7 linked regions of the Daphnia pulex genome follow. The protein of the gene in region 1 interacts with the protein of each later gene in a biochemical or structural test. Links are inferred from orthologs where the notes say so. Each region holds a gene or a part of one and is shown in the gene's direction. Other genes may lie near its edges. The genes, in order: polyubiquitin, DNA polymerase iota-like, Golgi apparatus protein 1-like, UBX domain-containing protein 1-B-like, E3 ubiquitin-protein ligase NEDD4-like, OTU domain-containing protein 5-B-like and ubiquitin domain-containing protein UBFD1-like.

Region 1 (2,189 bases):
GCTATTCTTTACTCAGGTATCCCACCCGACCAGCAGCGTCTCATCTTTGCCGGAAAGCAGCTCGAGGATGGTCGTACCTTGTCCGATTACAACATCCAAAAGGAGTCGACTCTTCACTTGGTTCTTCGCCTCCGAGGTGGTATGCAGATTTTCGTCAAGACTCTCACTGGAAAGACCATCACCCTTGAAGTTGAACCATCGGACACCATTGAGAACGTCAAGGCTAAGATCCAAGACAAAGAAGGTAAGAAACGAAAAGGAATACTTGCTTAAGATAAATATTTATGTGATGACACACTTAGGACACCTAAATATGTACCCTGATTACTTAATTGGTCTGATGAGCAATATTAAGATTATTGAAACATTTTTCCCGTTCTAGTATTAATTAGTTACTTAACCTACAGGTATTCCTCCCGATCAGCAGCGTCTGATTTTCGCTGGTAAGCAGTTGGAAGATGGTCGTACACTGTCCGACTACAACATTCAAAAGGAGTCAACCCTCCACTTGGTTCTTCGCCTCCGCGGTGGTATGCAGATCTTTGTGAAGACCCTGACTGGAAAGACCATCACTCTTGAAGTTGAACCATCCGACACCATCGAGAACGTTAAAGCGAAAATTCAAGATAAAGAAGGTAAGCTTGCTTCGATTTTGATATAATTTGGAAAATTGGTTTTTGATGATATTCTTAGGACACCTAAATATGCACCCTGATTACGAGTTTATCTGACGCATTTAAAACATTATTCGTATTGTGTGTTACGAACGTGTGTTTAATTAGCTTATTTTCTCCCCTAGGTATTCCTCCCGATCAGCAACGTCTGATCTTCGCTGGTAAGCAGTTGGAAGATGGTCGTACTCTGTCCGATTACAACATCCAGAAGGAGTCCACTCTTCACTTGGTCTTGCGTTTGAGAGGAGGTATGCAGATTTTCGTGAAGACTCTTACCGGAAAGACCATCACCCTTGAAGTGGAGCCATCGGATACAATTGAGAACGTTAAGGCCAAAATTCAAGACAAAGAAGGTAATAATTTGGAGCAGTTTTTATTTTTTTTTCATCGATTATGATGACACTTTATTAGCTCTTTAATATGTACCCTGATTACTTCTTTTCCAACGTGTACTGATATAAATTCTAGAACTTCAACGACTTTCTATGGTGTAAAAAATCTAATCCATTCTTCTTCTACTCAGGTATCCCACCTGATCAGCAGCGTCTCATCTTTGCCGGTAAACAGTTGGAAGATGGTCGTACCTTGTCAGATTACAACATCCAAAAGGAGTCTACTCTCCACTTGGTTCTGCGTTTGAGAGGAGGTATGCAGATCTTCGTCAAGACCCTGACAGGAAAAACCATCACTCTCGAAGTTGAGCCGTCAGACACCATTGAGAACGTCAAAGCTAAGATCCAAGACAAGGAAGGAATTCCTCCTGACCAGCAACGTCTCATTTTTGCTGGAAAGCAACTTGAAGATGGACGTACTCTTTCGGATTACAACATCCAGAAGGAATCTACTCTTCATTTGGTCCTTCGTCTTCGCGGTGGTATTTAAATACCGAAATAATTTGAAGCTTTATCGCAAGTTCTAACGTTTGAACTGATATCCGGAAATGTTTTGTCCTCGCTTTGGCGTGTTTCGTTTTTTAAGTTGATTTAAATTGAAATACAAATCGAAATTGCATTAATCATTGGTTTTATATTACTTCATTATAATACGTTATAATAATTAAATTGGTAACGAACAATAAAATTAATATAATAACAATTGTGTTAAAATTGAATTACAACTTTTGAACTCAATTTGCATTTGTCATCAAACTTAATTACTACTCCAATAATTTTTTTTTTCACTGAAAATGTACAAGGCCAACACTGTATTCATTCAAAACTGTTATACTACAAACGCGTTTTACATGTTTAATTCCTTGCGGCTGCCATTGCATTGTTAATTAAATTCTGTAGGTATTTGACATTTTTAACTAGATCAGCTTTAGGGTCGAACTCTGTGTGTTTGACTGTGACCACTCGATAGCCTGACTGGGTAAGAAGTCTCTCACGCAATCCTTGAGGTCCTGTACTGAAAGACTTTCCTTTGCACAAATGATTGTAGTTAAGCACTATTACCGCAACCCTAATGTAAGCAAACATATTAATAATAACTAGAGCAAGTCTTAAGTTTTTTCTG
Region 2 (3,406 bases), on another chromosome or scaffold:
CTTTCGTAATTACGAAGTGTCTATGCAACATTTTTATTCCTTACTATTTATATGATTCTGTTGATTTATCTCTTAGAGTAAGGAAGTAGCATGAAAGCTATAGATACCAGATAATACTGCCTTAGTGTGTGAATGACAAGGTTGCTTGACACTCTTGTGATGAATTTTATGTTTTTGTAATCATTTGACAAGGCCTTACAGTGGAAACTAATTTCTGACTTTTCCTATATTGAACATTTCACTTTTTAAATCTGTTTAAATAGAAGAAACAATTAACTTTTCTGTGCATTGCACATCTCTTGACAGCAAAGAGGACTGTAGTGTAAGAGAATATTTTGTTGTTTCATTAGTGCTTTTTAATGCTTATGGGGATTCCAAAGCTGTGTACATTACATTGTCTTGTCTTGCAGGTCTGACAAACTTCTTTTAATGGAAGTGTGTTAAGAAATGGAACTATCAAATCTCACTAACAATTTTAGCTGTCCTCAAAACACTTTCAGATTTTGAGGAATGTGTATTTTGAGGAAAATGCAATCAGTCAATACAAAGTGGAAAAGAGTATCATGTTTTAGTCTAGTTTGAATCCTTTTTTTATGAGGTCAGCTTTGGCATCAACTATCTCTTGTTTTAGCTCTTTGGCAGCCTCCTCGCAGTCATTAAATGTGTAGACTCTCCAAGCAATTATTGAAACAGAAATCACCTGCAATAATGAGGGAAAAAATTGCTATAGATAATACGCACCATATCATATAAAAACAAAACTTACTGCGAATGCGAGTAATACGTAAAATGGTAGGAACAGAACGAAATGCCGGGCAAAGTCGCTAGAGTTTCCAACTGGTGTACTGATAAAGAGGTAAGCCCAAACACCAGCAAACAAGCCTGCACCACCCAACCATTCAACCAATTTTGTCATAGTGAATAATTGACAGAATGACAACAAGGAGAAAAAACGAATGACAGAAAGAAAAGAATTTGCTGGCGTGTCATGTAAAAATCAAATGTCATGAATTTCTGCATAGTTGCCTGAAATACTTGATCATTTTCATATGGTTATCTTTATTATTTCGTGATATTTTAAAACAACACTAATTCATTTTTTAAGTTTTCTTCATTTCAATCAGAAAATAATCAATTAGCTTATGAAATATTTTGAAATAATGAATTTTCATTTTCTTTGCGCTTCGGGCTCATAGTAACAAAGCAGACGACACTACAGTGCTGTCATTTGCCGGTAGTTGAATTGTTATTGTTTGTTTAAACTTTTTCCTTACTCTTTCCGAAATGGAGGAAGAAGATTTAGGTGACGATTTCTCGTACAATAGTGTTGCCATTCAGTCAAGTGAAAAACATGAACGCGTTATCATCCATATAGATATCGACTGTTTTTATGCCCAAGTTGAAATGATTCTAAATCCATCTTTATGTGGCAAACCACTTGGTATCAAACAGAAAAATATTGTTGTAACCTGTAACTATGAAGCAAGAGCGCTGGGTGTTGAGAAACTTATGTCAATAAAGACCGCACTAGAAAAGTGCCCTTCCTTAGTACTTGCAAATGGAGAGGACTTGAAAAAGTATAGAGACATGTCAGAGAAGATTTATCAAATTCTTCAATCGTTCAGCCCATTTGTGGAGAAACTTGGCTTGGATGAAAATTTTATTGACATTTCCCACAAAATCAACAAGTCCCCTGAAATTAAACCAGAAGTTTCTGGACACATTTTCGAAGAAAAGAACAGTGATGAAACTTGTGCATGTGGTTGTACAGACAGACTAAAAGAAGGTTCTATTATTGCTCAGGAAATGCGAAATCAACTAAAAAGTGAACTTGGAATCACCTCCTGTGCTGGAATTGCTTGTAACAAGCTTCTAGCTAAATTGGTTGGAGCAACCCATAAACCAAATCAGCAAACCACCTTGTTCTCAGCATCATCTTTAAACTTGATGAAATCATTGAAGCATCCTAGAAATATTCCTGGAATTGGTTCAGCAATGAACAGAAAACTAGAGGTTCTTGGTATTGACACCATAGAAAAACTTCAAGCAGCAGATTTGTTTAAGCTTATTGAAGCACTTGGAGTCAAAACAGCTAACCAAATTCAACAACTGAGTTTTGGGATCGACGATAGTCGTGTCAAAATAACCGACAGACCGAAATCTATTGGAGCCGAAGATGGATTTCCTACAATCAAAAGTGAAACTGAAGTGCGCAAGAAGCTCAAGTGCCTGCTAGATCGAGTTTGGGAGTTAGTGGAGAAGGATGGCCGTAGACCAAGTCAAGTTAAATTGACAGTTCGGAAATTACATGCGACCAATCACAGTGTCAGAGAGGCCCGCCAGACTGCAATAGATCTTACGACTGGAGTTCCTAGCAACGCGCCATTAGGACCGTTAAGTGAAAATCAAGAAAAAAAAGTCATCACGACTCTAATGAATCTCTTCGAAAAGGTAGTAAATTGCGATGAATCGTGGCAAGTTACATTGTTGGGTATTTCGTTCTCTGGTTTTCCCTCTGGCATCGAAAGCCCAGCGAAAAATTCCATCAACAAATATTTTACTAGTTCATCGCGACCGAACGAAACTTTGCCACCTCCAACTAAGCGTGGACGCTTTGACGAATCTGTCCTCCAAGAATTACCTGATGACATCCGTCAAGAAGTTTTAGAAGATATGAAGTGTCAAATACCATCATCAAGCACCTCCCAACAGTCAGCAGATTTTGATTGTCCAAAAGGTGTCGATCCTCAAGTTTTTCGCGAGCTCCCGGTGGAGATCCAGAAGGAACTGCTGGCTGGGGAGAAAAATAAGAAGCCAATCGCAACCAAAAAACCTAATAACTTATTACAGTACTTCCGTAAAGTGTAAAAATGTGTTCTGTAGTAGCTATAAATGATCAACAAAGACATGTTATTTCATGGATGGGATATAATTTTAGCCACTTCCTTATCTTTCGAGACCAAAACACCTTTTCGGCCATCTTGTCTAGTAATTAGCAACAACCAACGTTAAGGTAAGTGAGGCGTTTTGTTTCCGTTTTGTTGTTGTTGTTTTTTTCTAGAATACTTACTATCCTGGCATTTTTAGTTTTTTTTTAAAGATTTTGAAATTTGAGGTTTGGCCACACAGAATGCTGAACGACCAATTTTAGAAATCTTATATTATATAAATATTCATCGAGTTTGCCGATTGTTGTTTAGTTTACATGTATATGTATGAAAAAATGAAATTGTCATTCTAGTTGCATGTCACCGTCGACGGTTTCCAGGACATGTATGGTGACGGTTTACATCATACAACTTATCCTTTTCTGGAACTCTATTACTGAACAAAAGTAAATAACCAACAATTTCTAATGTAAATTTGCTTTCTTGCTTTCACTTCATACGAGACGTGTGCAAACTAG
Region 3 (2,734 bases), on another chromosome or scaffold:
AACACGTTTTTCATTTTCTTATAATTTGTTTATTCATTCAAAATTTAACGAAAAAAGAACTAAAGTTTATGATGGAAGCTTAAGGCAATTTTCTACCACAAAAAATGAGCCATATTTCATCACAACACCTATATTTTATGTCAATGCAGGTTTGGTGTTTTCTTGAATTTTATTTTCATATTTAAGCATTTCAAATAGTACTACAATATTTGTTTTCTTTTAATTTAGAGCCTCATATTGGGCATGTCTACACAGCAGTCCTTGCTGATTCCTCAGCCAGATTTCATCGTTTAATTGGTTGCAGCCCTGTTGTATTTTCTACTGGGACTGATGAGCATGGCCTAAAAATCCAACAAGCATCATTACAGGCCAATAAAGATCCCAGCCAATTCTGTGATCAGGTTTCTGTTCTATTTAAAAATGCTTTGGACAAATGTGAAATTGGTTATACCGATTACATCAGGACTACTGAAAATCGACACAAAGAAAACGTTCACTCATTTTGGGTAAATGTCAGTGCAATGTGAATATGTTTCACATATTAATGAGCCATTTTTTTAGAATATTCTTTCAGATAAAGGGTACATCTATAAAGGAAAATATGAAGGTTGGTATTGCACAGCCGATGAAACATTTGTTACAGAAGATCAAACCACACTAGTGAAATTGCCTGATGGTCGTGAGCAACGAGTCTCAACAGAATCTAATCGTCCCGTTGAATGGTTCAGTGAAGAAAACTATTTGTTCAAGTTATCAAAGCTAAGAGGAGAAATTTTAAAATGGTTGATCAGTGGTAAGTTTCCTTTTTTTCAGTAGTGTACAACAAAATCACAAACCAAACAATTTTTTACAGGTCCCGTTGTTCGACCTGTGCGGCATTATAATCTTGTAAAATCATGGCTTGAACAAGATCTTGTAGACTTGTCAGTATCTAGGCCTCGTGCAAGATTGTCTTGGGGTATTCCAGTTCCAGAAGATCCTTCTCAAACAATTTACGTGTGGCTCGATGCATTGCTAAATTACATGACTGTCGCCAAACACTCACATTCTGACAAGGTAATATTTTAAAAAATTTATATTTTTCAACACATTAAAACGTATCCGAACCTTTGATTCCACAGAATATCTGGCCGCCGAGTGTTCATGTGATTGGAAAAGATATCTTAAAATTCCATAGTATTTACTGGCCAGCCTTCCTTTTGGCTGCTGGTTTTGATCCCCCGAAATGTTTACTAGTACACGGCCATTGGCTGGCCGACGATCAAAAAATGTCTAAAACTACGGGTAACGTCGTCAGCCCTCAGTCTTGCATCGATATCGCAACAGCAACTGGACTCCGTTATTTTCTGTTGCACGAAGGAGTTCCAGCCAGCGATGGAAGTGAGTCATACATTGTTCTCAAGTGATTTGTTTATCAATCTTATTAATAGTTTTGAAAATGACAAAGATTTTAGTATGACGAAGCTGGTGCGAATCGCCAACTCTAATTTGGCCGACGGCATCGGCAATCTAGTCAACCGCTGCTGTGGCAAGAATTTGAATCCTTTGCAGATAAGACTTGCAGTCAGTCCGTCAGATTTTGAAGCCTGTGGTTCTCCAGGATTAGAGTTGCTTGATCTTTTACAACGCACCCCTGACATTGTTCACGAAGAATATCTACAGTGGAACTTTTACAAGTAAATTCGTGTGTTTTGCCTGGTTATAAAAATCAAACCTAATCACTAATTGTTTAATTTACAGAGGAATTGAACAAATCATGGCTCTAGTTCGATGTGCCAATGGTTTTTTCCAGACTATGGAACCCTGGAAGTTGAAAAAAGAAGGCGAGATTGACAAACTGAATGCCACATTGGCCGTCACCATGGAAACTGCAAGGGTAGTGGGAACGCTTCTTCAACCGATCGTGCCTTCTTACAGTGAACGTTTACTCGGTAAGTTGATTCCTTTCGAATGACGAAAGCTATTTCCGGGATCATGATTTTAAAAGGATGAAATATTTCCATTAAGACAAATTGGGTGTGCCACGGGAAAATCGCGACTGGAATTTCGCTCGACTACGATCGAGTACCACCGATACTTCTCTCGGCGCTCAAGGGACTGTCCTCTTCCCCAAAATCAAATCTGACTAAAAATTTAACCTTCGCTGTTAGCAGGTGAATATGTTCAGTGACATTTGATTGCGTCATTCAGTCTGAAATAGAATGGCGAATAAATTTTAATACTAAAAACGTTGATGTAGTCGTGATTTTCGCATCACTTTCCTTGAGCTTTTGACCTCGTTTAAATGTCCTTTCCTTTATTAATTTGGGGGGCTTCTTTAAGTTTGTAAATCTGGTATAGATCGTGTTGATAACGCAAACGGCTAGTAACAGGATTCCACTTTTTTTGTTTTTAAATAAAATTTTCTTCTTCTTTTTTTCAGCCAAGGCGAAACTTTTAAGTCACTAATGGGATTATGTAGCACCGCGCTCTCTTTAAAATAGTAGATTGAAAATTATCGAACGGAATCGTTAGCTCTTTATTGAAACGGTTGGAGACAGAGCGAAACTGCCCAGCCCTTTTGATACGGTCAGCAGGTGAAATGTGGATGTCCTTCACTACTTTTTTCTTCTTTGTCCTTTTTTCGGGTGTCCGGTTTTGCGTAATCGCCTCTTTCCGCTCTAGGGTTTCTTCAGCGGAGCGTCTGCTCCGGTAGACGCCGGTCGTAGACCACCCAAGCCATAGAGGGACTCCG
Region 4 (3,221 bases), on another chromosome or scaffold:
TTCCAAGAATGTGATCAAATAAACATTTCTTGAGAACTTATCCAAAATTGCAACATGAATTTGTTTTTCTAGCTGTTTTATAGAACATTTTTGATGCATCACTCAGTCCTTGAGATTTTGATACAAGGTCATCCAGTTTTTCACCCCTTTGCAATACAGCTTCAATTGTGTTATGCTATGACAATCAAACATGACTGGTTAAAAAAAAATTAAAACAGATTGAAACTTTAAGACTTAAATTACCAAAATAATCTTAGTCTCATCTAGTTCATCTTGAACTTTAGTTAGAGCATCTGCTTCTCTGGGATTTTGATATTTTGCCAAAGATGCTTCTAATCCAGAATAAGCTGCACAGGCAGCATTTGCTTCTATCCAAAGAGATGATTCCACCCGAGCAGCAAAATCATCAAGCACCTTTTGTAATTAAGAATATCTCATCATTTCAATTCAACCAACATACAAGTAGCACTCACTTTGGTTAACAAGGTATGAGCAACCCTCTGTGGGTATTCATGATCTGCCGTCAAAACACAGCAGAGTCCATCTGCTCTCACATAAATGTGACACATATACTCTGCAATAAAGAAATAACATTTAATTTATAATGTACATTGAGTTTTATGATGACTCTTTGCATACATACCTCCTTGTTTCACCGATTGTCTGGACGCAGCACTTGTCCTTTCAGTCAAGATCTTGGCAGTGAAAGCCATAAATTCTTGAACGCTGCTTCGTTGAAAAAATCCAAAACTTGAGAGGTCGTAAGCCGCTCTAAGTAGCTGTGGTGACCCTTGCTCGCTGCGATGTAAAATCGCTAAAGAATACAGCTTCACCATTTTTCTAGATTTGACTAGTAAATATAAGATCCTCCAACAATCGTCTTACTGATAAGTGGAGAGGCCTTTGTTAATTAGTACTAAAGGTTCAAGTGGACGGCTTGAGTTTTTCCTCAGAAGCGGTTAAATCCGATCCGATAGAAGTCTGCAAAAAGTGACAACCAACAAGAGAAAAAGTTCAATAAAACAACGGGAATGGCCGAAGAACCCATTTGTTGCATCGGAATACACCGCCTCTAGCGGATAAACGTAAAATAAGCTGTTTCCCCGCGCTAATTTGGCGCTAATCAGATTGCTAAATTGAATTATAGTTAATTGCAAGAAAGTAAACACTTTTTTAGTAGAATTAATAATAATTTGAGAAATAAAACATTTGGTTTCAATGTAAATTTCAATACAAAAAACACAAAATTTTACAAAAATCTTTGGGGCAAAATCACACCAACAGAAGAGGCTTCATCGTCACTTTTTTAATAACATACTGACATTGCTAGCGCTAGTCGGACGACATACCTCTGTTCTGTTGTTTTTCGAAGAACGAAATACCGAAAATGTCATCAAATCTTCAACTGTTACTAGAAATGGGATTTTCTGAACAGTTAGCGTAAGTTTTAATTCCAAATAATTCATACCTTTTATATTTTTTAAATGGCAACTTAATATTTTGTTATATTTCTTTGAAATTTGAAAAGTGAAAAGGCTATTAAAGAAACTGGAGACCAAAATATTGAAGCTGCAATGGATTGGTTGATTGTGAACAGTGAGAAATTCAATCAACAAACTGACAACAATCAAGAAATGAAAGAGGAAGAACCAAATGCTGCTGCTCAACCTGAAGCATCAAATGCTGAAATGGCTGCTGTTACTGCCAAATCTATTAAATGTGATGAGTAAGTATGGAACTCAAGTCAACCATTGAATTTCTTACATATGTTTTTTAAAATTTCCTCTAGATGTAATAGACTATTTCGCACAAATGAAGAGGTAGAATTTCATGCTGCGAAAACCGGTCACAGCCAGTTTTCAGAATCTACTGATGAAAAGAAGCCTCTCACTGAAGAAGAAAAGAAGGAACAACTGAGGAAAGTGGAGGAGTTGATGAAGTTGAAGCGCAAAGAACGTGAAGAGAAAGAAAAGGCCGAACAACTGGAGCAAGAAAAAAGAAGAATACAGTCAGGCAAGGAGCTTCTCAATATAAAAAAGAAATTCGAAGAGGATGAAATAAGAAAGATTGCCGAAGAACGGAGGCGCGAAAAAGAAGAAGAGAAAAAAGCCAGACAGCGAGTGAAAGAACAAATTGAACAAGATAAATTGGCACGAAAACAGAAAGCCGGTGACGCAACCAATACGCCATATGTAGCTCCTCCAGTTCAGGCTCCGGCTCCGGCACCGACAACACCCAATCAGCCCAAGGACTATAAGGAGACGAAAATCCAAATAAGGTTATAAATCATTCTGGATGACGCAAGTCCCTCTTCCATAACTCTTTATTATTTCTTCCAGACTTCCAAATGGATCGACAATGACGCAAACATTTGGTGCTAAGGAGCAGCTAGCTTCAGTTCGTCTCTTCATTCAAATGAATAGGACCGATGTAAATGCCGGAGTGCCGGAACCATTTCGGATTCAAACAAATTTTCCTAGAAAAGTATTTACCGAAGAAGAGTTCGAGAAGCCACTCGATGTGCTAGGATTAGTTCCAAGTGCTGTTTTGATGGTATCAAAAGCATGAGAATTATAAAAGACTGAAAAACGAATTTTTTTATCTCATCTTGAGATTTAATTTGTATTTGTATCTGATAACAAAGTCGAGCGAGTGAAAGAGTGTGTTGGGGGAGAAAGAGGCGGGTTTCAGAAATAATTACACATAAGATTGTAAGAGTCACGAAGTTACTTAATTTTTTTTCTCATCTTTTGAAATTTGATGTTTGCACGATTTGATAGATACCTACACCTGTTTCTCATCACCTTCGAATGATTGTTTTATTATTCCTACTAACAAATCGCGTATCACCCGCCGTTCCATTAAGGTTATAGCGGTTTTTGTTATACCTGTCTAGGGCTCGTTATTACAACATAATGCTAAGTCAAAACAGTCCAAGGCACTTTGACAGGTTTCGTCTGACAAAATGTCTCACTTTCTCTCCCCCTCTTTGCCTTCTTTAAAACCAAAAAAAGCAAGCCGTGGGAAGAGAAAAGAAAAGAAATCGGAAGTGTCGACACAAAATCCACACCACGTGACTAAACCAGGTCTACTTCCTTTTGTTTCCTACAGTAATTTTTAGTTAACCTCTTTTGTTTTGTTTTGTTTTTGCTTTTTTCCCTCTGTACATTGGAAGAAATCGTCAGGACGTAAACCTCCTCCTTCCTCCTCCCGCTCACGGC
Region 5 (4,080 bases), on another chromosome or scaffold:
TGATGTGGAAGCTACCTAATTCGTCCGTCACGGATAACCCACCGCCCTATTCTGAAAATCCATCCAATCGTCTAGTTATCGAAGAAAGTGAAAACAGCCGCGAAACCACAAGTAAAAACAGAAGTTTTTATTTCGTATTTCAACAAATTTAATGCATTATATTTATGTTGCAGGTCTTTTAGTTGTTCCATCCGCTCCGTCGAATGATTTAGTCGAAACACCTATGAGTCACACGTTGATGTTACGACGGAGCAACGATACTTTGGATTCTAGCGATTTTTTGGACGCGGGAACACCTCCTCCTAGTTACGCAGAAGTTCTTGCTTGTATTTCAACTCCAGCTATGAATGAGATAGAAGGAGGGGCCTCCTCAGTCAGGGGTAATGTTAGTTGAGAAATGTTTAATTTACACAGCTGTTGAATTGGAATGCTTTGTTTATAGAAGACGACGACGAACTTCCTTCTGCTCAATGGAGGAATAGTTTGAACTTGCCGAGAGAACGTTCTCCAGCCGAAGTTGCCATTCAACGTTTCAGCCTACAACTTGCCCTCGATTGCTCAGACACAAGCAGCTGCACGAGCAGTTCAAGTCACGCCCAACCTGGGACTTTGAGCACTTCCTCCTCTTCTTCTGCCGCGTCGATTGCCCATCTGGGCTCCAATTGATTATGTGTACTTATTCTTTAGCAGAATCAAGTATCTACCTAAAGCAGAATCTAGTAGAAGAAATCAGCTACTTCAGTCTAGAAGATCTCGTTTGACTGTTCGATGTATTGATTCTGCTCTCGTTGTGTTGTCACCTTTTACTCGCTTTTCTCTTTTTTACGCGACTATGTGGGGCTTCTCCATGTATTTTCATTTCAAAAAGCCTTCACATAGTTAATTCGTTGTCATCTAGGTTATTTTTGAAAACCTTTGACAAATTTCCTCCATGATGTGTTTTTCGACGGTATTTTCCCCCAATCATTTTGAATTGTATTCATTACAACGTTTCTATTATGTAAAATTATGTGCTTAGACAAAAGGCTTCGAAAATCACAGTCATCTATTGATGGGCACATACGTCATTAATATTATAATCCACATATAGGCAGTCCTGTCGCGGTGACGGTAGGTTGCTTTGAATGTGTTTATTGTAGGGCAGATTTCTCTATATAATCACGCCCCTCATTTCAATTTTTTGTAAACGGTAACGTATTATCTACAGCCGACCACTTTCGAACAAAGAAATAAATTGAGTTCAAGCATGTGCGATGTTTCGTTTTTTTCAAGAGCGCATTTAGTAGAGAGCATTGTCACAAACTCACATCGATGGGTCACGTGACTGACGAAATTCTCCATCAGCTGATATTCATCAGTTCTCGAGTCGACTTTCGTTGCCTACAACTATACAAGTTGTCTGCTCTCTGGTTGTGTTGTACGCTGGGGCTGGGGCGTGAAAAACTTCATTTTCAATTAGTTTGTTCAATTTTAAACCTTGAAAATCTGCAGAGTCAATACTCATTTTTTATCGCATCAAGTCAAGGAAAATTCAAAAGTTTGCATGGCCGAAAGTCGTGTCTATGGGCTCAATAACGCAATGGTACGTACTACGTGTCTAAATACCGAAATATGAAACCTTAAACCCGGACAAATCTGGTCAAAATCAGATTTTGTTTACTTTTTTTTGTTTGAAAGGAAGGCAAATTTCTGTTTGTAAGTCTGTACATGATTTGATATTTATTCTTTTAGCCTGAGCTTACAAGTTTACTTCGTTTACGTGTGATTGCTGGGCATAACCTTTGCAAGAAAGACATATTTGGAGCAAGGTAATAACAAAGTGTGGTGTTTGTTGTATTACTCATGTCCTCACTTTTCTTCCTAAATTTAGTGATCCTTATGTGAGAATTGATTTGGTGGCAAATAATGGAGAACAAGTGATTGATTCAGTGTTGACACGAACCAAGAAAAGGGTATGTTGCAACATCACAGTGCTGCCAGTAGTTTGTTTCTAACTTTAATCATTTACTTCACAGACCTTAAATCCAAAATGGGATGAAGAATTCATATTCCGGGTCAAACCTTCAGAACATAAGCTAGTGATGGAAGTGTTTGATGAAAATCGCTTGACCCGAGATGACTTTCTGGGAATGGTAGAACTTCCTTTGGTTGGACTTCCAAAGGAACTACCAGATACAAGTATACCCAGGAAATATTACATTCTTCGGCCACGAAGGTACATGCTATTTTATGCTAATAGATTGCAATTGCTGTTTCTTATTTTTGCTTTCATGCTTAATGTTTATGTCCTTTATCTTAAAACAGTGCGCGTTCCAAGGTCAAAGGACATCTGCAACTATATCATGCATACATCCCTGATCCAAATGAAGTTTCGGAGATTACAGTAGCCAATGATTCTGTCGCTGCAACCGAGCCTCAAACTCAGGATCCCGAACCTGGTTGGGAAATGGTTGATACGACAGATGGTGTTAATAGTGCTGGACAGGCACAAGTAGAACAGCCAGCTAGAGTAAATCTGATTAAAATAGTTAAAATATTTACATTTATATTCTCGCATACTAATATACTGATTTTTATTCCAGCCCGTTTACGTTCAGGGAAGTTCTTCCGCTCCAGACGTCGCCAATGCAACGGCCCAGTCTGTCCCTTTGCCTTCTGGTTGGGAGGAACGTCAAGATGCTAACGGTCGAACCTATTACGTTAATCATATTGCTCGCACCACCCAGTGGGAGAGACCGTCCATCCAGCCAGGTAAATGAGCAGTCTGGAAGGCTTGTTATTTTATGAGTATTATCACGAATTTTCCTTTCCGTTAAAGCTGTGATTCAGGAACAGCAGTTGGCACGTGAACGTAACCTTGAAACTGCTGGATCGGATATGCAACGACGCTATCACATATCGGACGATGCCCATCCGCTTCAAGCTGGACTAGATGCAGCCGCTGGTATTGCTGATCAGGTAGAGTTGATCTCGTTTTTATTGGGTCTCCCGGTTATGTTTATATCTACTCACGAATTTTGCCACTTTCTTCTGCATGCTGTTTCGGGAAAATCGATATTATTTGAGGAGGATGAATATGACGATGAAGAACTTGATGATTATTATGATGACGGGGACGAATTTGATGATGAATACGATGATTATTGGGATGATACTGCAGAGGGCGATGAACAGGTTTGATTAGCCTGCCTCTGCGCGTTGTTACAGTTGTAAGAAAAGCTAGAAATATTCGATGTAGAATATCGAGCTAGTAGACTATGCTAAACTTACAGTCAGCTTAACCGAATTTGTGCTTACCTCCTCTTGTTTTATTCGAAATTTGTAGTTAAGAGATGTACAAATTAATGGCAGTCCAAGACCTAGTCCAGCGTCACCTCGTCACTCCGTAACGGTAATTAGAATAAAACCTGATTTCCTTTTTCGATGCTGACCTTCCTCATGGCGTGATTTTTAACCCATATCTTTACCCTCAAATTTTAGTCTATTGACGGCGGAGAACAGGTTGCAAATAGTACGTCTCCAACCCCACCAAGACCTGTAGTTGTTCCTAGCAGTGAAGGACTACCACAAGGTACGTGAATCATTCATTTCCTCGTACGTGTACAGCTGCAAACTTCTCGTTTGGAAACATCTAGGTTGGACAGTGCAAGTTGCTCCAAATGGACGTCTATTTTTTATCGATCATAACAAGCGGGCTACAACTTGGGTGGACCCAAGATCAGGGAGACCATCGACACTTCCGCGGCAGAGCCAGTTCGTATTCTTTTTGTTGGGCTTCTCAAACAAAAACAAAGCCAAAAATGAAGGTCATTTCAATAATTCTATTATCTGTTTGTTCAGGAGCCCTGGAAACAAAAACTTCCAAGATGAAGCGCTGGGACCTCTTCCGGAAGGATGGGAAGAAAGAATCCATAATGATGGCAGAATCTTCTACATTGATCATAGTAAGTTGGCATTTTCCGTCAGGTGGTACTCGTACAGCTGACGCTTAATGCATTCTTGACATGCAGATACACGAATTACCCAATGGGAAGACCCCCGTATGTCGAACCCTAATATTGCTGGACCGGCTGTTCCTTA
Region 6 (4,064 bases), on another chromosome or scaffold:
ATCGCTATCTTCTTCCTTAAAGGTGACCATAGGAACATTTTGATAAATCCTGGGGATGTTGATTTCCTTTAGAATCGAAGGACTCTCTGGTGAGACTGCTTCTAATGCTTTTTTGCCAAGCAGTTCTTCTGAAGCACTTTCATCTCTGACTGTGTTATAATAATTCAGTTTACTTGATCTATCAGTTTCGTCAAAAGCCATTGGGACTTCCCAGTCTCCATTGGTCTTGTTCTTTGAATTTTGGCATTGAAGAATGAGCTGTTCGACTGACATGATAAGGAAAAATCCTAAAATGCATGTGAATTCAGCAACAGGAAAATCAGTTGTTATATTAAGGTCTGCAAGCACTTTCCTCGTCTTGTCTTGCGCATAAGGAAGTAGTCCTAGAAAGCACATTGCGATGAAGACTCCACCAGCCATGGAATTACAGAATGAAATTATTCTTTCTGTACCACGACTAAAGTTGCAGTCCTTGGTAGATTTCTTGGCTACAATGCAGACTGGAATCAAAGCACAAATTGCCATAACAATGTACACAATCAAAGCAGTGACAACCAGCAGTACTTGGCTATCCATGTTGACTGCCACTATGCTTGGATGTGTCTGATGGACTGATGCAACTGTTTACTCTTTTAGAATTTTTCGTTTAGTAATTTTCAGCGTTCGCACAGGCCAGATGCCACTGACTCTACTCACTGTCCCTTCGCGTTATTATAAAACTCAAAACTACTTGAGACAAGGGCACTTACTGCGCCTTGAGCGAAATATTAACTCGAGCTCGGTCAACACCCTCTGTCGGTCGATTTGTATTTATTTTTATTTTTTTTGTGCTTTACATCTTCTGCTCGTTTTCTTACTTCATGCTAGAAGGAACCTACGACAGGTTCTACAATAATGCTACAATAATTAATTCACCTACCTGAAAGGTATATGCAGGGTGATTTTATTCCTTCCTGGCAGAAGTTATGCAATGTTTCACTTAAAAAGTAAAATTCCAGACACACGATCAAAACGAAGTCAATGTCACAATACTGGCAGAGCAGACAGAATGTTCGTATACAATTAACATCCTTGGTTGCCTTCTTCGAGCAAAAATTCGGAAATTGAAAAATACATATTAGCTAGAAGCTAGCTAAAAAATATTTTTCAACACAATTTTGCAAACATGAAAAATTATGTTTTTTATTCATAGCATCACTCCGAAAATTCATTCCATTGAAAATTTGAAACATTTTGAAACTCTATGTTTTCGCTTATTCATCGACATGGCAACCTCTAAATAATTTAGACAGAAAAATAGACACGGCCATCTTTCAGTGGAAAATTTGTCTTTTTCGTTGAATAGATAAAAGAAATCGTCGAAGAGTACATTTCAAGGGCGTTTCGGTAAAGAGAGTGATCTTTGCACAAGCATCATGACAATTCTGCCGAAAAAGAAGTCATCTCAATCACGGTCGGAATCCGAAAGTAATACTGATGGATCTCCCCTACAACACCTCTCAGTTGGGAGCAATAATCACCTTTCACACATTGGACCAGTACCACAGGTAAAAAAATTATTTTTATAAATATACCCCAGTATTTAAACAGCCTTTGGAAGAAATTATGGCTGGAAGTTTCAGTGCATCTTCTAATTGACATCTGAAACAACCACACAAAATGGCCGGTCCAGCTACAACCAGTACTTATGTACAAGAAGCAAATGGTGCTTTGTTCATTACACCCTTGCCATTTAGGCAGTGCTCAATGAATAAAAGCAAATAGTATTGATAACTATTATTGACAAAGATGACAAAAAGTCAGCATTGTTGATTCTTATTAAAATGTATTTTACATAAATTTTACAGGTAGCAGAAACTTGCAGTGTGTCTAGGCTGTCTGGAAGAACATCATCAAGCCATCCCCACAGCCACGGACACAGCAGCCAGTCATCATCTCGCTATGAAGATTATGACCTGGAGAGTGGTCCTAGTCAAACAAAAAGAAGAATGAGAGTCAGTCCCCATAGGTATTTAATCTCAGTTATTATTTTGTTGCATTGAAATTTGACAGGCATATTTTTTTTTTATTTAGAGCTGTCCGCCCCAAGCACAGAGATAGGAATTCATCAACCTCTGCCATACCTAGTACTAGTTCAGCCATGCACAGTGTTGCCTCTTCATCCAGCTCAGGAAGTTCTCCCACACCAAGCCATACAGTACCAGATCCTTCTTCCCATGAAGATGAATCAGGAAGTGGATATAACAGTGGAGATGAATATGGACCTGCAAGATCTTCATCTTCTAATGTCCCCATTTCTGAAGAAGAATGGGAACAGGTATGTTTCCTAAGACAGAAGTGTTATTCATAGAACTCCATCAATGCCAATATGATTATTAGAAGGAAAGATGGTTTGAGAAAAAGATGCGGAAACGAGGTTTTATTATTAAGCGGATGGGTGAAGACGGAGCCTGCTTGTTTCGTGCCGTTTCTGATCAAATCTACGGTGATCAAGAAATGCACTCAATGGTTCGCAAACATTGTATGGACTATATTGTAAGTAATTGTCCTGTTGTATTTTTATGAATTTGAAACATTACGTCTATATTTATATTTGTCATAAAAGGACGCAAACGGAGACTACTTTTCACAGTATATGACTGAAGACTTTGCCGCCTATGTGAGTAGAAAAAGATTGGAAAATGTACATGGCAATCACATTGAGATGCAGGCTATGAGCGAAATGTACAACAGACATATTGAAGTATTTTGCTACAGCGTCGGTAAGCCCTTATCATTTCGATAAAATTCGCTAAATAGAAGGCTTACTTAAATTTAACCCATTACAGAGCCGATCAATATTTTCCATGGTAAACATCAGACTGATGACGAACCTATTCGATTGTCTTATCATCGTGGAGTGCACTACAACAGTTTGGTTGATCCGTACAAAGCCACTGTGGGAGTAGGACTGGGATTGCCAGGATTTGTCCCTGGTCAAGCAGACAAGAAATTAATGGGTGATGCCATGCGACAAAGTGAAGAGACCTTAATTGAAAAAGCCATGTTAGAAGATAAAGTTAAAGCCACAGATTGGGAGGCAACAAATGAAGCTATTGAAGAGCAAGTTGCCCGTGAAAGTTACCTCGACTGGCTTAGAGAAAACGAGCGACGCAGTCGACAGCAGCAACGGTCCGGTCATTCGGCAACCACTTCCTCGAATGCCTGCGAGCTCCGTTCCCCAAGAACAACAGCAACGACGTCCTCTTCAGCTCGTAATTCGCCCAAACCATCTTTTGTTGAACACCAGCGGAAGTCTCCAAATGCTTCACCGAGAGCGTCCACTTCACGCAGCGCCACAACCTCTAGTAGTCGTGAAGGTGCATCAACTAGCCCTATCGCGTCACCGGCCGCTGGTACTTCAAGTTCAAACCCAGTGAACACCAGTAAACCCGATTGGGGATTGGGGCCAGGCTTTGAATTGGCTGAAACGGCTTCATTCCTGGGACAGTTGCCTCCTGACATGTTTGGTAACTGACGTTTATATCAACAGATATTTTCAGTTTAATTTTATGCTTTAAAATTGGCTAAAGGTTTAGCAGACTGGGAGGATGCTGGACTTTTGGCTCAAGTGCTGGCTGCATCGCAACAAGAGTATCTGGACAAGTTGAAAAAGAGCAGGGAAGCCATCGACCCTCACGACGACGAGACGATGGATAACACCAAACAGCAGCAAGAGGAGCAGCCGGTTGAACAGAGCAGTCGCGACAGTATGACGACAGATCCAACCAACGACCTGACCAGTGCGAACGGGACTAACAATAGTTAACCCAGACTCCTCAGTTGTTTTGTCTACGTGTTAGCTTTCCTTTTTTTTTCCCCCCGTCAGTGGCAGGGAGCTCAAGAGGCGTGTATCAGGGGAGGAGTCAGAAGAAAGTCCTTTCCATGCAAAATTGTTAATCTTTGATTCTCGGTCTAAATTTAGACTCGCAATGACGTCTGACTGACACAATTGGATTGAACTTGCCTGTACCCCCGTCTCCTCCACTGCCGATTCTCGCAAACTGGCTGCCAAATCATGTAAA
Region 7 (3,358 bases), on another chromosome or scaffold:
GACGCGAGTTATGAAGCCAGCTTAACCCAACATTATCCTTTTTTATTATTTAATTTTTTTTTTACTGCGCACGGTACTCCGCAATTACCGACCAGTTACCGACATTTCACCACTCGATTTCCTCAATAGATGGATTTGTAGCATTTATGAGTAAATATTACGTAAAAAAAAAGCTGAGGACATGTGCCATCATCGAAGGGAAGTGAAACGAGGTCCGCGTGATCAGTCACGAAGATTATAAATAAATTCCTACATACATGCATCATATGAGAAGATGATGTGTAGATAAGATCTTCTCTTCCAATCCCATATCGTGTTCGACTTACGGCGAACCAGCGAATTAGAGAAGATTTAGTAGAATTATTATTAAATGAAAAACAAAAATAAATGGCTCCATACAAGTAGACTGTGTTGAGGATACTTTTTAAAAGATATGATTAAATGATTTCATTTTAAACTTTATTCTTAGAAATTGAGAAAGAATTAGAATTATGAAATTAATTTTGTATGTGCTGTTTAATTGTTACACCTCAAATAGCAAATGAGACTAAGACCAGAACAAAATATTGACAGCCATTAAGACACATGCTGCAGCAATGTACTGACTTTTCCTCTCACCAATTCGAGCACTTTTCCAGAACAACCCCAAAAAACTGTAACGAAAAAAACAAAACAAAACTTGTTAATGTGAAAATTCTGAATTGACATGTAAATTGACAAAACAGTCAACATCTTGATAATTTACGAGAACCTACATAAACATAAGTCCTTTAGGTACACAATTTTACTTCTCACCCTGTTTTGTTACGATCTAGTAGACTTGGAGTCAGTGATCGAATATACGCACATGTGCATATAAGAAGTAATGTGATCGTAAGAAGAGACTGGAAGTTGAACAAGGCTGACTACAAATAACAAGAAATATGAGGTAAGCAAGTAAGTTTTATATCATTAAAATAGAATACCATATTGTAGTATTTTAGCAATAGGTCTACACGCTTATTTCCTAGCCCTTTTATGTGAGATAGGCAAAATCAAGTTCAACAAATATTTATGAGATGAGATTAACAGACTCAAAAGTTTTGTTTTTTTGTTTTGTTGATCTTGTCAAAATTGGCCTGCTTCCTAGCGGCTGCTGTCGTTATTTATTGAAAATACATATACGGAAAAATCCAATATTAATTTATATTTTGTACCTACCTACTTTAGCTATGCATATTTTACATTATATTTTGACTTTCTTATTTTTTTCCCCATTTTAAAAATGAAGTTAGCCATACAAAAAAAGCAATATATTTTATTTATTTTATTTTATTAGTGTACTGTCAACAGCGTTGTATATATATATAGTCCGTCAAGTCTGTTTAATTCTCAATAGGTGTCACTACCCGTTAGTAAATAGAAAAAAGTACTCGTCTCCTCTCTCGTTTGTTCCAGTCTGGTTTGCTTTCTCAAACTTGAAAAGAAATCTACTATTTTTGAAAATACCTGATTTTCGAGGATTTAGATGTTTGTGCAAATCTGGTAGGAGTGCTGCTTAATTTAGAATTGAAAGTTGTCCACATATATTATTAGCCAATTGTTGAAACTTCAGTCGTAGCACGTTTTAATGTTCGTAGACGTTTGCACAACGTCTACATTATCAAATGGAGGAAAAACAAGACATTCTTGAAGAATTAACACTTCCAGGCAATGTTACTGCAAAAGATGTGGAATTTAAGGTAGTTTTTAACAAAAAGAAATATGATGTTATCTTCAATCTGGATTCCACAATTGCTCAGTTAAAGGAACATTTGCACACCATCATTGGTGAGAACTGAGAACTCAGTTATTTTTGAAATTACTCTTGTAGAAAAAATATTAAATAATGAAATGTAAATTTTTAAGGTGTACCAAAAGAAATGCAAAAACTCATGGTCAAAGGCCTTGCTCATGATGACAAATCCTTAAGAGATTCTGGAATTATTTCAGGATCGAAAGTTATGGTCATTGGGTCAACATTTGATGATGTTTTAGCTCTCTCTCATCAAACAGCAACAGTATTAATTTTCAATCTTATCAGATAACTTATTTATGAAAATTGTCTGAAATTAATTCTCTTTTGTCAGTGGATCCCTGAAGATAAATTGAAACCAGCAAGTGCTATTAAAGAACCATTGTGTCATCAGAAAATACATAAAAAAGTTTTGGACAAAGGACTACCTGAGGATGTTATGCCTGGTGTTAAGAATGCCAAAGTTTGTTGCATATCTACACACTTATTTGAAAAGTACTTCTTAAAGTTGTTTTGATTTTTCAGGAAGGATTACCACCTCATCCATTGAATGGGATGTGCAGCCGAGGCAAAGTAAGATTGACATTCAAGATGGAAAATGACCAAATCTGGATAGGTATATACAGACGTTTTTTGTTAATGGAATTTTCAAGAATTCTACAACTTATTTTACGCACAATTGTAGGAACAAAAGAAAGGACAGAGAAAATCAGCATGTCATCAATAAAAACCATTGTGAATGAGCCAATAGAAGGACATGAAGAATACCACATTATTGTAAGATTCTTGGCACATTTGCTCTCTTAATGATTCTTTGTTCTCTGTTTTTTTACCTCTTTTACATCTCTTTCATCAGGGAATTCAGCTTGGTCCTACTGAAGCTTCAAGATATTGGATCTATTGGATACCATGTCAATATGTGGATGCAATAAAAGAAACTATTTTAGGGAAGTGGCATTATTTTTGATTAAAAAATATGTTCAATTTCTGGAAATTGTCACTTGATTCAATACTATTTATAACTTTTTCTGCTAATATAAATTGATGAGTTGAGTATTTCTTAAATAACATTTCTAAATATGTATATTTGTACTCTATTTTATATTTGATTTTACTTTTAATCATATAAAATACCTCCAGGAAGAGTGAAAAAGACTGGGTCTACTTTTTGTTTAACGATGAAGATAAATGACTGATCGAGGACAAAGTATATCCGATAAATCAGTAAATTGGTTTAATTTACAATATTGTCTCTTTCGTGTTGTATGCAATATGCCTGCCTTTGTCGACATGCAAGACATACTGTAAAAGCAACCCATAATGAAAAAAACAAAAAAGGTTCAACGGAGTCTTTAAGTTAGATTTACAGATAATTACCTACCAAATTTTGAATTTCTTAGTACAGACGGTGTTCTGCCACTGAGAATGGTTCAGCTATTCAATTTAACATTGGGACAAAGGGATATCGGCAAAAATCTACGTAAAATGACTATTTGGCAATCGAAAGGCTCAGCATTCAGTTTTAAAAATGCATACCGGTACCAAGAGATTGGTTGTTTGGCAAGTTAGCAAGCTCAGAGTGGC

The links.
Region 2: the proteins of polyubiquitin (region 1) and DNA polymerase iota-like form a complex in vitro, tested with the Homo sapiens proteins (6 studies listed by BioGRID and IntAct, with this or other methods). The link is inferred for Daphnia pulex from reciprocal best matches to the Homo sapiens genes UBC and POLI.
Region 3: the proteins of polyubiquitin (region 1) and Golgi apparatus protein 1-like form a complex in vitro, tested with the Homo sapiens proteins (2 studies listed by BioGRID). The link is inferred for Daphnia pulex from reciprocal best matches to the Homo sapiens genes UBC and GLG1.
Region 4: the proteins of polyubiquitin (region 1) and UBX domain-containing protein 1-B-like form a complex in vitro, tested with the Homo sapiens proteins (9 studies listed by BioGRID, with this or other methods). The link is inferred for Daphnia pulex from reciprocal best matches to the Homo sapiens genes UBC and UBXN1.
Region 5: of the proteins of polyubiquitin (region 1) and E3 ubiquitin-protein ligase NEDD4-like, one has a biochemical effect on the other in vitro, tested with the Homo sapiens proteins (6 studies listed by BioGRID, with this or other methods). The link is inferred for Daphnia pulex from reciprocal best matches to the Homo sapiens genes UBC and NEDD4L.
Region 6: the proteins of polyubiquitin (region 1) and OTU domain-containing protein 5-B-like form a complex in vitro, tested with the Homo sapiens proteins (9 studies listed by BioGRID, with this or other methods). The link is inferred for Daphnia pulex from reciprocal best matches to the Homo sapiens genes UBC and OTUD5.
Region 7: the proteins of polyubiquitin (region 1) and ubiquitin domain-containing protein UBFD1-like form a complex in vitro, tested with the Homo sapiens proteins (2 studies listed by BioGRID). The link is inferred for Daphnia pulex from reciprocal best matches to the Homo sapiens genes UBC and UBFD1.

Annotation. Positions count from the first base shown.
Region 1 is NC_060024.1:13,924,171-13,926,359, forward strand, and holds the end of polyubiquitin, read left to right. Parts: intron 1-16; coding exon 17-244; intron 245-407; coding exon 408-635; intron 636-799; coding exon 800-1,027; intron 1,028-1,197; coding exon 1,198-1,556; 3' UTR 1,557-1,689; downstream 1,690-2,189. Other genes in the region: FAST kinase domain-containing protein 4-like, read right to left, coding at 1,922-2,135.
Region 2 is NC_060019.1:7,787,980-7,791,385, reverse strand, and holds DNA polymerase iota-like, read left to right. Parts: upstream 1-1,210; 5' UTR 1,211-1,284; coding exon 1,285-2,868; 3' UTR 2,869-2,906; downstream 2,907-3,406. UniProt on the Homo sapiens protein: Error-prone DNA polymerase specifically involved in DNA repair. Plays an important role in translesion synthesis, where the normal high-fidelity DNA polymerases cannot proceed and DNA synthesis stalls. Favors Hoogsteen base-pairing in the active site.
Region 3 is NC_060026.1:12,903,409-12,906,142, reverse strand, and holds the end of Golgi apparatus protein 1-like, read left to right. Parts: intron 1-228; coding exon 229-506; intron 507-561; coding exon 562-793; intron 794-853; coding exon 854-1,056; intron 1,057-1,121; coding exon 1,122-1,380; intron 1,381-1,447; coding exon 1,448-1,676; intron 1,677-1,740; coding exon 1,741-1,931; intron 1,932-2,007; coding exon 2,008-2,129; 3' UTR 2,130-2,234; downstream 2,235-2,734. UniProt on the Homo sapiens protein: Binds fibroblast growth factor and E-selectin (cell-adhesion lectin on endothelial cells mediating the binding of neutrophils).
Region 4 is NC_060026.1:12,912,322-12,915,542, forward strand, and holds UBX domain-containing protein 1-B-like, read left to right. Parts: upstream 1-1,257; 5' UTR 1,258-1,387; coding exon 1,388-1,440; intron 1,441-1,528; coding exon 1,529-1,726; intron 1,727-1,789; coding exon 1,790-2,278; intron 2,279-2,339; coding exon 2,340-2,568; 3' UTR 2,569-2,721; downstream 2,722-3,221. Other genes in the region: synaptobrevin homolog YKT6-like, read right to left, coding at 38-175, 244-414, 474-574, 644-836.
Region 5 is NC_060022.1:1,841,552-1,845,631, forward strand, and holds the start of E3 ubiquitin-protein ligase NEDD4-like, read left to right. Parts: upstream 1-1,280; 5' UTR 1,281-1,543; coding exon 1,544-1,582; intron 1,583-1,731; coding exon 1,732-1,808; intron 1,809-1,870; coding exon 1,871-1,952; intron 1,953-2,015; coding exon 2,016-2,215; intron 2,216-2,304; coding exon 2,305-2,509; intron 2,510-2,582; coding exon 2,583-2,751; intron 2,752-2,818; coding exon 2,819-2,958; intron 2,959-3,325; coding exon 3,326-3,391; intron 3,392-3,480; coding exon 3,481-3,571; intron 3,572-3,635; coding exon 3,636-3,753; intron 3,754-3,840; coding exon 3,841-3,944; intron 3,945-4,010; coding exon 4,011-4,080. Other genes in the region: integral membrane protein DGCR2/IDD-like, read left to right, coding at 1-111, 174-380, 443-666. UniProt on the Homo sapiens protein: E3 ubiquitin-protein ligase that mediates the polyubiquitination of lysine and cysteine residues on target proteins and is thereby implicated in the regulation of various signaling pathways including autophagy, innate immunity or DNA repair.
Region 6 is NC_060018.1:2,564,231-2,568,294, reverse strand, and holds the start of OTU domain-containing protein 5-B-like, read left to right. Parts: upstream 1-1,264; 5' UTR 1,265-1,415; coding exon 1,416-1,547; intron 1,548-1,847; coding exon 1,848-2,008; intron 2,009-2,073; coding exon 2,074-2,317; intron 2,318-2,379; coding exon 2,380-2,535; intron 2,536-2,605; coding exon 2,606-2,762; intron 2,763-2,828; coding exon 2,829-3,509; intron 3,510-3,572; coding exon 3,573-3,808; 3' UTR 3,809-4,064. Other genes in the region: zinc transporter ZIP1-like, read right to left, coding at 1-576. UniProt on the Homo sapiens protein: Deubiquitinating enzyme that functions as a negative regulator of the innate immune system. Has peptidase activity towards 'Lys-48'- and 'Lys-63'-linked polyubiquitin chains. Can also cleave 'Lys-11'-linked ubiquitin chains (in vitro).
Region 7 is NC_060023.1:5,225,165-5,228,522, reverse strand, and holds ubiquitin domain-containing protein UBFD1-like, read left to right. Parts: upstream 1-1,330; 5' UTR 1,331-1,646; coding exon 1,647-1,809; intron 1,810-1,887; coding exon 1,888-2,039; intron 2,040-2,108; coding exon 2,109-2,237; intron 2,238-2,299; coding exon 2,300-2,390; intron 2,391-2,459; coding exon 2,460-2,551; intron 2,552-2,630; coding exon 2,631-2,741; 3' UTR 2,742-2,858; downstream 2,859-3,358. UniProt on the Homo sapiens protein: May play a role as NF-kappa-B regulator.